Neurospora crassa OR74A: one gene and its partner. The main gene of each other region encodes a partner of the protein of the gene in region 2 in a complex. Links are inferred from orthologs where the notes say so. Each region holds a gene or a part of one and is shown on either strand. Other genes may lie near its edges.

Evidence for each region.
Region 1: the proteins of NCU16016 (region 2) and cya-4 are in contact, whole or in part, in a cryo-EM structure (PDB 8Q1B), measured with the Schizosaccharomyces pombe proteins. The link is inferred for Neurospora crassa OR74A from reciprocal best matches to the Schizosaccharomyces pombe genes cox1 and cox5. Residues at the interface, in YP_011104928.1 of Schizosaccharomyces pombe: Met44, Ser47, Ala48, Pro49, Ser51, Gln52, Phe53, Trp340, Ser341, Arg342, Glu414, Thr415, Ser418, Ile419, Trp422, Ile423, Ile426, Ala453, Val455, Gly456, Phe459, Ser462, Ile463, Val466, Ile467, Leu470, Ile496, Pro497, Ser498, Tyr499; in NP_588158.2 of Schizosaccharomyces pombe: Tyr71, Ile92, Ala93, Phe94, Gly95, His97, Pro99, Arg100, Phe102, Ser103, Ile105, Gln107, Thr109, Val110, Gly113, Thr114, Gly117, Leu118, Ile120, Gly121, Leu124, Phe125, Ile128, Arg129, Gln131, Ala132, Ala133, Pro136, Thr138, Met139.

What each region holds. Positions count from the first base shown.
Region 1 is NC_026502.1:1,656,445-1,660,033, forward strand, and holds cya-4 (cytochrome c oxidase subunit IV), read right to left. Parts: upstream 1,854-3,589; 5' UTR 1,713-1,853; coding exon 1,478-1,712; intron 1,080-1,477; coding exon 886-1,079; intron 818-885; coding exon 731-817; 3' UTR 542-730; downstream 1-541. Other genes in the region: NCU16537 (hypothetical protein), read right to left, coding at 2,652-2,712, 2,776-2,839, 2,901-2,961; NCU05458 (hypothetical protein), read left to right, coding at 3,496-3,589. UniProt on the Schizosaccharomyces pombe protein: Component of the cytochrome c oxidase, the last enzyme in the mitochondrial electron transport chain which drives oxidative phosphorylation.
Region 2 is NC_026614.1:37,820-41,676, reverse strand, and holds NCU16016 (cytochrome c oxidase subunit 1), read right to left. Parts: upstream 2,410-3,857; coding exon 736-2,409; downstream 1-735. Other genes in the region: NCU16017 (hypothetical protein), read right to left, coding at 1-773.

The DNA of each region.
Region 1 (3,589 bases), on a different chromosome or scaffold from region 2:
TCAATCCAGCAACTTCATGGATGACGGTTGGTCACGAGGGGACAGCCGCAGCAGGCAAAAACATCAGGACGAAGAAAGAGCATCTGGATGAGGCAGGACTATGAGTGGCGTTCTCGTCCCGAAGGCCCGGATGTGAAATCATCGCCCGTAACTCTTATCCGAAGTACGGGCTACCGAGTGAGATACGGCTGGGTGCTGGGAGCAGGGTAGCTTACCCCTTTTTCGGCCATGTCAAGTAAACAAACAAACAAACAAACAAACAGTGTCATTTCTTACTAGCAGCGAAACACCTAGCAGGGATCAAGAGACGTCATCCTGAAAAGGTGCTAGGCGCCTTAAAAGCTCGGAAGCTTCTTTCCGCGTGTGACGATGCTACTCCCTCAAAATCCTCAAATACCTCGTTTCATCTTGATATCCAGGAGCTTGGCCTCACTGCCCGAATCTAGCTATCCCCATCCGCTCACTCTTCTCTACCAAGTTCCATATCTCCCTAAACCCCCATGACCCCCATTTACACCGGACAACAAAACGAACGCGCCGGCTAAAGGAAATGATAATGCATTGTCAGCTGTACAGTATTTACACACCAACCCAAGTGTTAAGCGCCCCAAAGCATTCCAATGCCACCACTGTCCTTTCCCCCGATCCTCACAGACTCGTTTGACATGGCCGATATCCGAGAGAACGAAGGATGAGTCTACCCCTGAGCACCAATAAAAGTATGCGAAACTTATGCGCTGGCAGAGGGAGACTGAACGTGGCCCTTGCCGTTGTAGCCTTCGGAGGTGAGACCAGTGAGGGGGTCGGACTTCTGGGCCTGTTTGTTGGTGATATATGTGTTAGTTGATCTGGTTGCCAACAAAGAGCCGATATGAGCCGACGCACCTTGAGGAACTCGTTGGTAGCCTCTTGCCACTCCTTGGTCATGGTGGCAGGAGGGGGCTTGGCGAAGGCGCGCATGGTAGCGAAGATGACGAAAGAGAGGAAGACACCGGCGACAGTGTAGGCCAAGACCTTCTTCTGCTCGCCGGGAGGGGGGAGAGCGCGGGGGCCGTGGGGACCGAAGGCGATGTAGTAGGCTGCGTTGAGAGAGAGTACATGTCAGTCTTTCTGTGGTCTGGGCCTGCGTGTCTCTTGAGACGACCTTGATGGCTGTCATGGTGCGGTTTGTCGTCGGAGCTTCCCTCCTCTTCTCCTCCAATGTAGCGCACCATTACTCCCTCAGCCTTCTCCCAGCGTCCCCCAACAACCCATCAATCAACCGATAACCTCTAGGCCGACAAGATCCATTTCCGCCCAACGATCCCAAAGCTGTCCGGGAGCTCGTGAAGCTTGTTTGAAGCTCGGGGTTGTCGCAGAGTGAGGGTGACGGGGGGGAGCTTCAAGGCGGGCGTTGGTGATGCAACTAGCTCGGAGCTTGGACGGTCGAGCTCCACCCGGCATTTCGCCAACCTTCAACCTTCCACTTCTCACTTACCAGCCTTCTTCTCCTGGAGGGTAAGGTCGGCCCAGTTGCCCTTCATGCGGTCGCGGAGAGCCATCCAGAGCTCGGCCTGCTCCTGCATGGGCATCTGCTCCCATCTCTTCTCAATGTTGGCAAGCGTGGGGTTGGAGATGGGCATGGTGGAAGCGGCGCGGACGGCCATGGTGGGCTTGGCGGCGCGAACGGCGACGTTGCGCACGAGGGCCGAGACGGTAGGAGTGCGAAGCATGGTGGCGGCGGATTGTCGGCTGACAGAGATTAGGAAGTTGAGGAGGATTCGAAGTCGGGGGTGGAGATGGATCCAATTGAGTCGCCCGCGTGCGTGGTCGGAGGCCTGGAGCTCGATCGTCGACGGTGATTTTGTGCGAGGAGTGAAGTCATGCAAAGGACGAGCTTTTTTTTGGGCGAACGGGATTCGCAGGTAGGCGAAACGGGGATGCGGCCTCAGCTCGGAACTCGAGGAATGCCTGGGATGGCCTGATGCCCACTTTGCTCACCCCGAACGCAGTGCCCGCCAGTGAAAACACCCCCAAACCAGAGCGCTATGAGACTCGCTGTCACAGTTTACCTAGCTTGGGGCCCCGTATCTTCCCGGGAGCCAACTCACGGCAGGCTGACCAGGGCCGCCTGGCAAGTGGTGAACGGGCAGCTTTTGCGTGTCTGGCGCTCAGAAACGGAGCCCCTCACCTGGCAATTCCACACTCTTGACAGCTGGCACGGACCGCCTTCAGTTTCCACACCATGGACGTTTTGTCCTTGGGCTGACTGGAGTGTCCATTGTTCATTGTTGACTTTTGGATGACGACGATTCGATTCTCTGGCAGCTGAAAAACGGAACTCACATGCCAGACGTCACTGTCTCACAAAGTTTATTGTTTGCTTGTCCGGAGTGGGAGACACGACAGGGTCTTTAGACAGATTAAAGCCTTGCAGAGAGATATTTCATGTCATGTTATCCGCAATGAGTACAGTAAACGCGGCAGAACGAAAATGAAGCCTTGGATGCTTCGTTTCAAACGAATTGCTGTCATGAGTTTCGAGAAAACAAAAAGAGGGACAGCTATGCACCGACATATCCCTCCAAATATATATATATAACTCATGCCTTGGTCGATGGTATGATCACGATACCTAGTTGTTACTCTACTCCATGCTAGCATCCTACATCTCATTCTCTTTTCTCCCACTCTTGCTTCCTAATCTCATATGGAGAGGGCTTGGCCGGGGGACTGGTGTCATGTTAGTCTATCCAGTCTTAACCGCACTTGATTGTTTCAAGCTCATCTTCTCACCCAAGGTTTAGGCCTTCACGCTTCTCCTTCTCCGCCCGGAGACTGGGGGCAAATGTGTAGTATCCTGCAGAGACGTCAGACTTTATTCTTCCAATCACAAGCACATGCAACCAAAGAGCCCGGACCATTCACGATGCCAAAGGTTACTACCAAACCAATGGTGATGATCTTTTTGCCGTTGAGCATCTTGACTTTTTGTTGCTGTTGTTGATTTTTTTATGTCTTGGCTGATGATCGCCACTCAGTTGACCGGATTGAATATCAGCTTCGATAGTATATTCGATCTGGACCTTCACTCAGTTCGAGAACACTTCAGCGTTTCGTTGGGTCCGTCCCTGTAAACGGCAACAACGGTGCTGTACAGGGCAGTACTGTACTGTAGTGTAGCATAATCTGCACAGCTCCATTCCGCCGCCCGCCCGGATGCCATGTGCACTGTCTGTTTAACCCCGGTCCAGTGCATGCAAGCAATGACGCGGAGGCAATTGGAAATCATTAAACACAGCTAAGTAGCGCACAGACCACATTTTCTCCGACGGCGCGTCTCCCAGTGTTTGTGGACGCGTCTCAACCTTGAAAGCACTGCACGTTGCCTGCCCGGACGACCAGCCATTCGCCTCCTACATTCAGGTTTGCATGCCAACGGCCCACGCCGAGTTGCCTTTCGAACGAGAGACGAAGGGCAAAAGAATGTCCTCGACGACATGAACAGCAAAAGTCATGAAGAATTGGAGGGAATTGGGCGAAGTGCCGGGTTCGGACGAGGACGACGACAGCAGCTTCGACGACGATGATATCGATATCGACAATCTAG
Region 2 (3,857 bases):
CGTGTTCTTGTTTTACGATAACCTCGGGATCTAGGACCTTGATCTGTTTGTGTTGTTTCATCCTCTGAATCTGTTTCTGGTGCTAATCGGTCTTGATTAGGACCTGAGCTTGCACCTGAATTTCCTTTTGCAGATGGAGGTGAATCTGAACCTCCTGATGCACCTGAGTCTGAACCTTTTTTATATAAAGTTAAAGGTCCACGTGGAGATGGTGTTTTTTTTTCACAAGACTCACCACCTACACCCGCAGGTAATTCAAAATCACTATAATATAGTTCTCCAAAAATTCTAGCTAAACTACCAAATAGGTACATCAAGGTTCAAAGATGAAGATCTAAAAATATTGAAGAAGCTTTAGGAGCTTCTACTCCTAAATTGGACGCTTCTACTCCTAAATTGGACTCTACTCAAATCATATTAAATAATCTTAAGCCAAAAAAAGGGAAATTTTTTACCAAATTTTGAGTAAAAAATACCAGAGTTCATATCTCCTGATCATAACAAATATATATACCTTTAACTATTAACATAGTAGGTAGAGCAAAAAAAATAAATATTTTAAACTTCTTAATCATATTCATTCAGATGGCTTTAGATATTTCAGTAATACGAGATTTAGAAGGTCAGTTCCAAATAGATGCTTGTAAATTTGAGGTCACAAAAAGGTGAGGTTTTGGTGGTGTTAAAGTTAGTTTATGAGTTAAAAATTGGATGAAAGTTAAAAGTTCAAGAAAATTAATTTTGCCTCCCACTGATTTCTTTTTGTTCCCCATATGATGATAATCTAAAAAATGATAAAAAAAATGATGAAGATTGTAATGGAAGACTCACGAATGAATGAGGTTTAGGTGGGCTACTTATAGATCATTCTAAACTAGGATAACTTCTATTTAAAAGAGCACGTAAACTATCAGTATAGAATTGTGGGATTGATCATGGATATCTACCTGCGTATTCTCCTTGAACTAGTTGTATATACACAATATATAAGAATAATCAAGAAGCTACTACACTTACGATTGACCCAAAACTACTTATTAAATTTCAACCTGAAAATGCGTCAGGGTAATCACTTATTCTTCTTGGCATACCTTGTAAACCTAAGAAATGTTGAGGGAAGAATGTTAAATTAACCCCTATGAATAAAAGTCAGAATTGAGCTTTAGATAACACCATATTATAATTTAAACCTAATATTTTAGGTACTCAGTGATATCATCCGCTAAACATTGCAAATACAGCACCCATACTTAATACATAGTGAAAATGAGCAACTACGTAATAAGTATCGTGGAATGCTATATCTAAAGATGCATTCGCTAAAACAACTCCACTTAATCCCCCAATTGTGAACATAAATACAAAACCTAAAGCAAATAACATAGAAGGAGTTAATCTAATAGAACCTCCATAACATGTAGCTAATCATGAGAATATTTTAATTCCTGTAGGAACTGCAATAATTAATGTAGCTGCTGTGAAATACGCTCTTGTATCCACGTCTAAACCAACTGTATACATATGATGACTTCAAACAATAAATCCTAATATTCCAATAGACATCATGGCGTAGACCATACCAATATAACCGAATACTGATTTATTAGAATAAGCTGATATTGTTGTACTTATTATACCAAAACCAGGTATAATTAAAATGTAAACCTCAGGATGCCCGAAGAATCAGAAAAGATGTTGGAATAAAATAGGATCACCACCACCAGCTGTTTCAAAGAATGATGTATTAAAATTTCTATCTGTTAATAGCATAGTAATTGCACCGGCCAACACGGGGAGAGATAGTAATAATAATACAGCTGTAATAACTACAGCTCATCCAAATAAAGCTAATTTGTGCAATCTAATTCCTGGTGTTCTCATATTTACTATTGTAGTTATGAAATTAATAGACCCTAATAAGGAACTAACTCCTGATAAATGTAGGGCAAAGATAGCCAAATCTACACTAGGTCCACTATGACTTTGTACACCTGATAAAGGAGGATAAATTGTTCATCCTGTACCTGCTCCACCTTCTATACATGCAGAGAATACTAATAATAGTAAACTTGGTGGTAACAGTCAGAAACTAATATTATTAAGTCTTGGGAATGCCATGTCAGGACCCCCTACTAATAATGGTAACAAGAAATTACCAAATCCACCTATTAATGCTGGCATAACCATAAAGAAAATCATTAAGATCGCATGTGCAGTTATTATAGCATTGTATAATTGATTATCTGCAATGTACTGCACCCCAGGTCCGCTTAACTCCATTCTTATTAAAACAGAAAATGCTGTTCCAAGTAACCCAGAAAATAGCGCAAAGATTAGATAAAGAACTCCTATATCTTTAGCATTCGTTGATAAAAATCATCTTTCAGTTCAAATCGAAATTGACGACATTAACCCGACACTTCTTTTACTTGAATTTAAAGAGAGCCCAAACTCCTCACTATTTAATTGATTAAATAATATAATGGTTTTTATTATAATGGTTACGTATCTTATAAATAAAAATAAAATAAGATTACAACATCTTATTGATTATACAATCAATGCTAACCAGGATATTCTGTAAACCGACCAACAGAATATCCCCGGTAACGTAATTCTGGATCACCTACGTAGGTGATTGACTGACTTACTAAAAAACACACTAGCCTTTCAATGTTTTGTGGACTTTCTTTTTTTTTTTTTTTTTAAAAAAAAAAAAAAAAAAAAAAAAGGCGGAATCACGGCTAAATCAGTATTAGAACCAACGAAGTGCCTTGCTATATTAAGTCAGCTATCCAATATTCCATTAGCCTCATGTAGTAAATTAACTTTTCTCGCTACCCTTATCCACATATCCCCCCGTCCCCCCGCCCTGCAGTACTGCAGGGGGGGGAAGGGGGATTGTGAAGAGTGGATGAGCGCCTTTGGAGGAGCGCACAAGTTATTATTATAATTCATTTTGCTCCCACTTCTAAACCCCCGCAAGCTTGCGGGGGGTTTGTTAGGAGAGCCTCCGCTACGCGAGAAAATGAAGACTTATCTTATTATTTAACCAAAATATTAAAAATATTTTGGGAGGCAATTATTTTTTAGCTTCCCCCCCTGCAGTACTGCAGGGCGGGGGGACGGCTAAAAAAATTAAGCGAAGCTCGCCTCCAAAATATGTAGGTAGTGTATATAAAAAAAAAAAGAAATATTTCTTTACCGGTTTATTTCTTCATAATACATATTTTGTTAAGGCGGGCGAAGCTTGCCTCAGAATCACTCCGCCTTTTCTACAACATCAGTTAAGATACTACTTAGTATCTTATATTCCTTTGTAGCCTACAAGAGAAGATTTAGTTTGTATATTTTAGGGGCTAGCGAAGCTCGCCTCCAAACTAAACTAAACCTAAATTTATTTTACATACAAATAATAAATCGAGCCGCGAGGCGTCTTTTTATCATATATTTTTAAAAACAAAAACAAATATATGTTTTAGTGCTTAAATATTATTATTATGTACTACCCCCATATTATTTAAGCCCTAAATACAGATAATTACTCCCCTTATAGAATTATTTTTTTTTTTTCATTAAGATAGTTAGTAAATTTATTAAATTTGCGGGCAGCTTGCTTCATTTTTTTTTGGGCTGGCGCTTATTTTTTTTAGCTTCCCCCCCCTGCAGTACTGCAGGGCGGGGGGACGGCTAAAAAAAATTAAGCTAGCCTCAAAAAAATTGGCTATAGGCTAACCCTAAAGGATTACGTAGGAATCGAACCTAATCCTTAAGATTTGCAGTCAAAGGGTAAACCATTTACATCGTAATCCTGATCCCTTGCTAAGATCAAATAATTATTTACGGCCTCCTCCGTT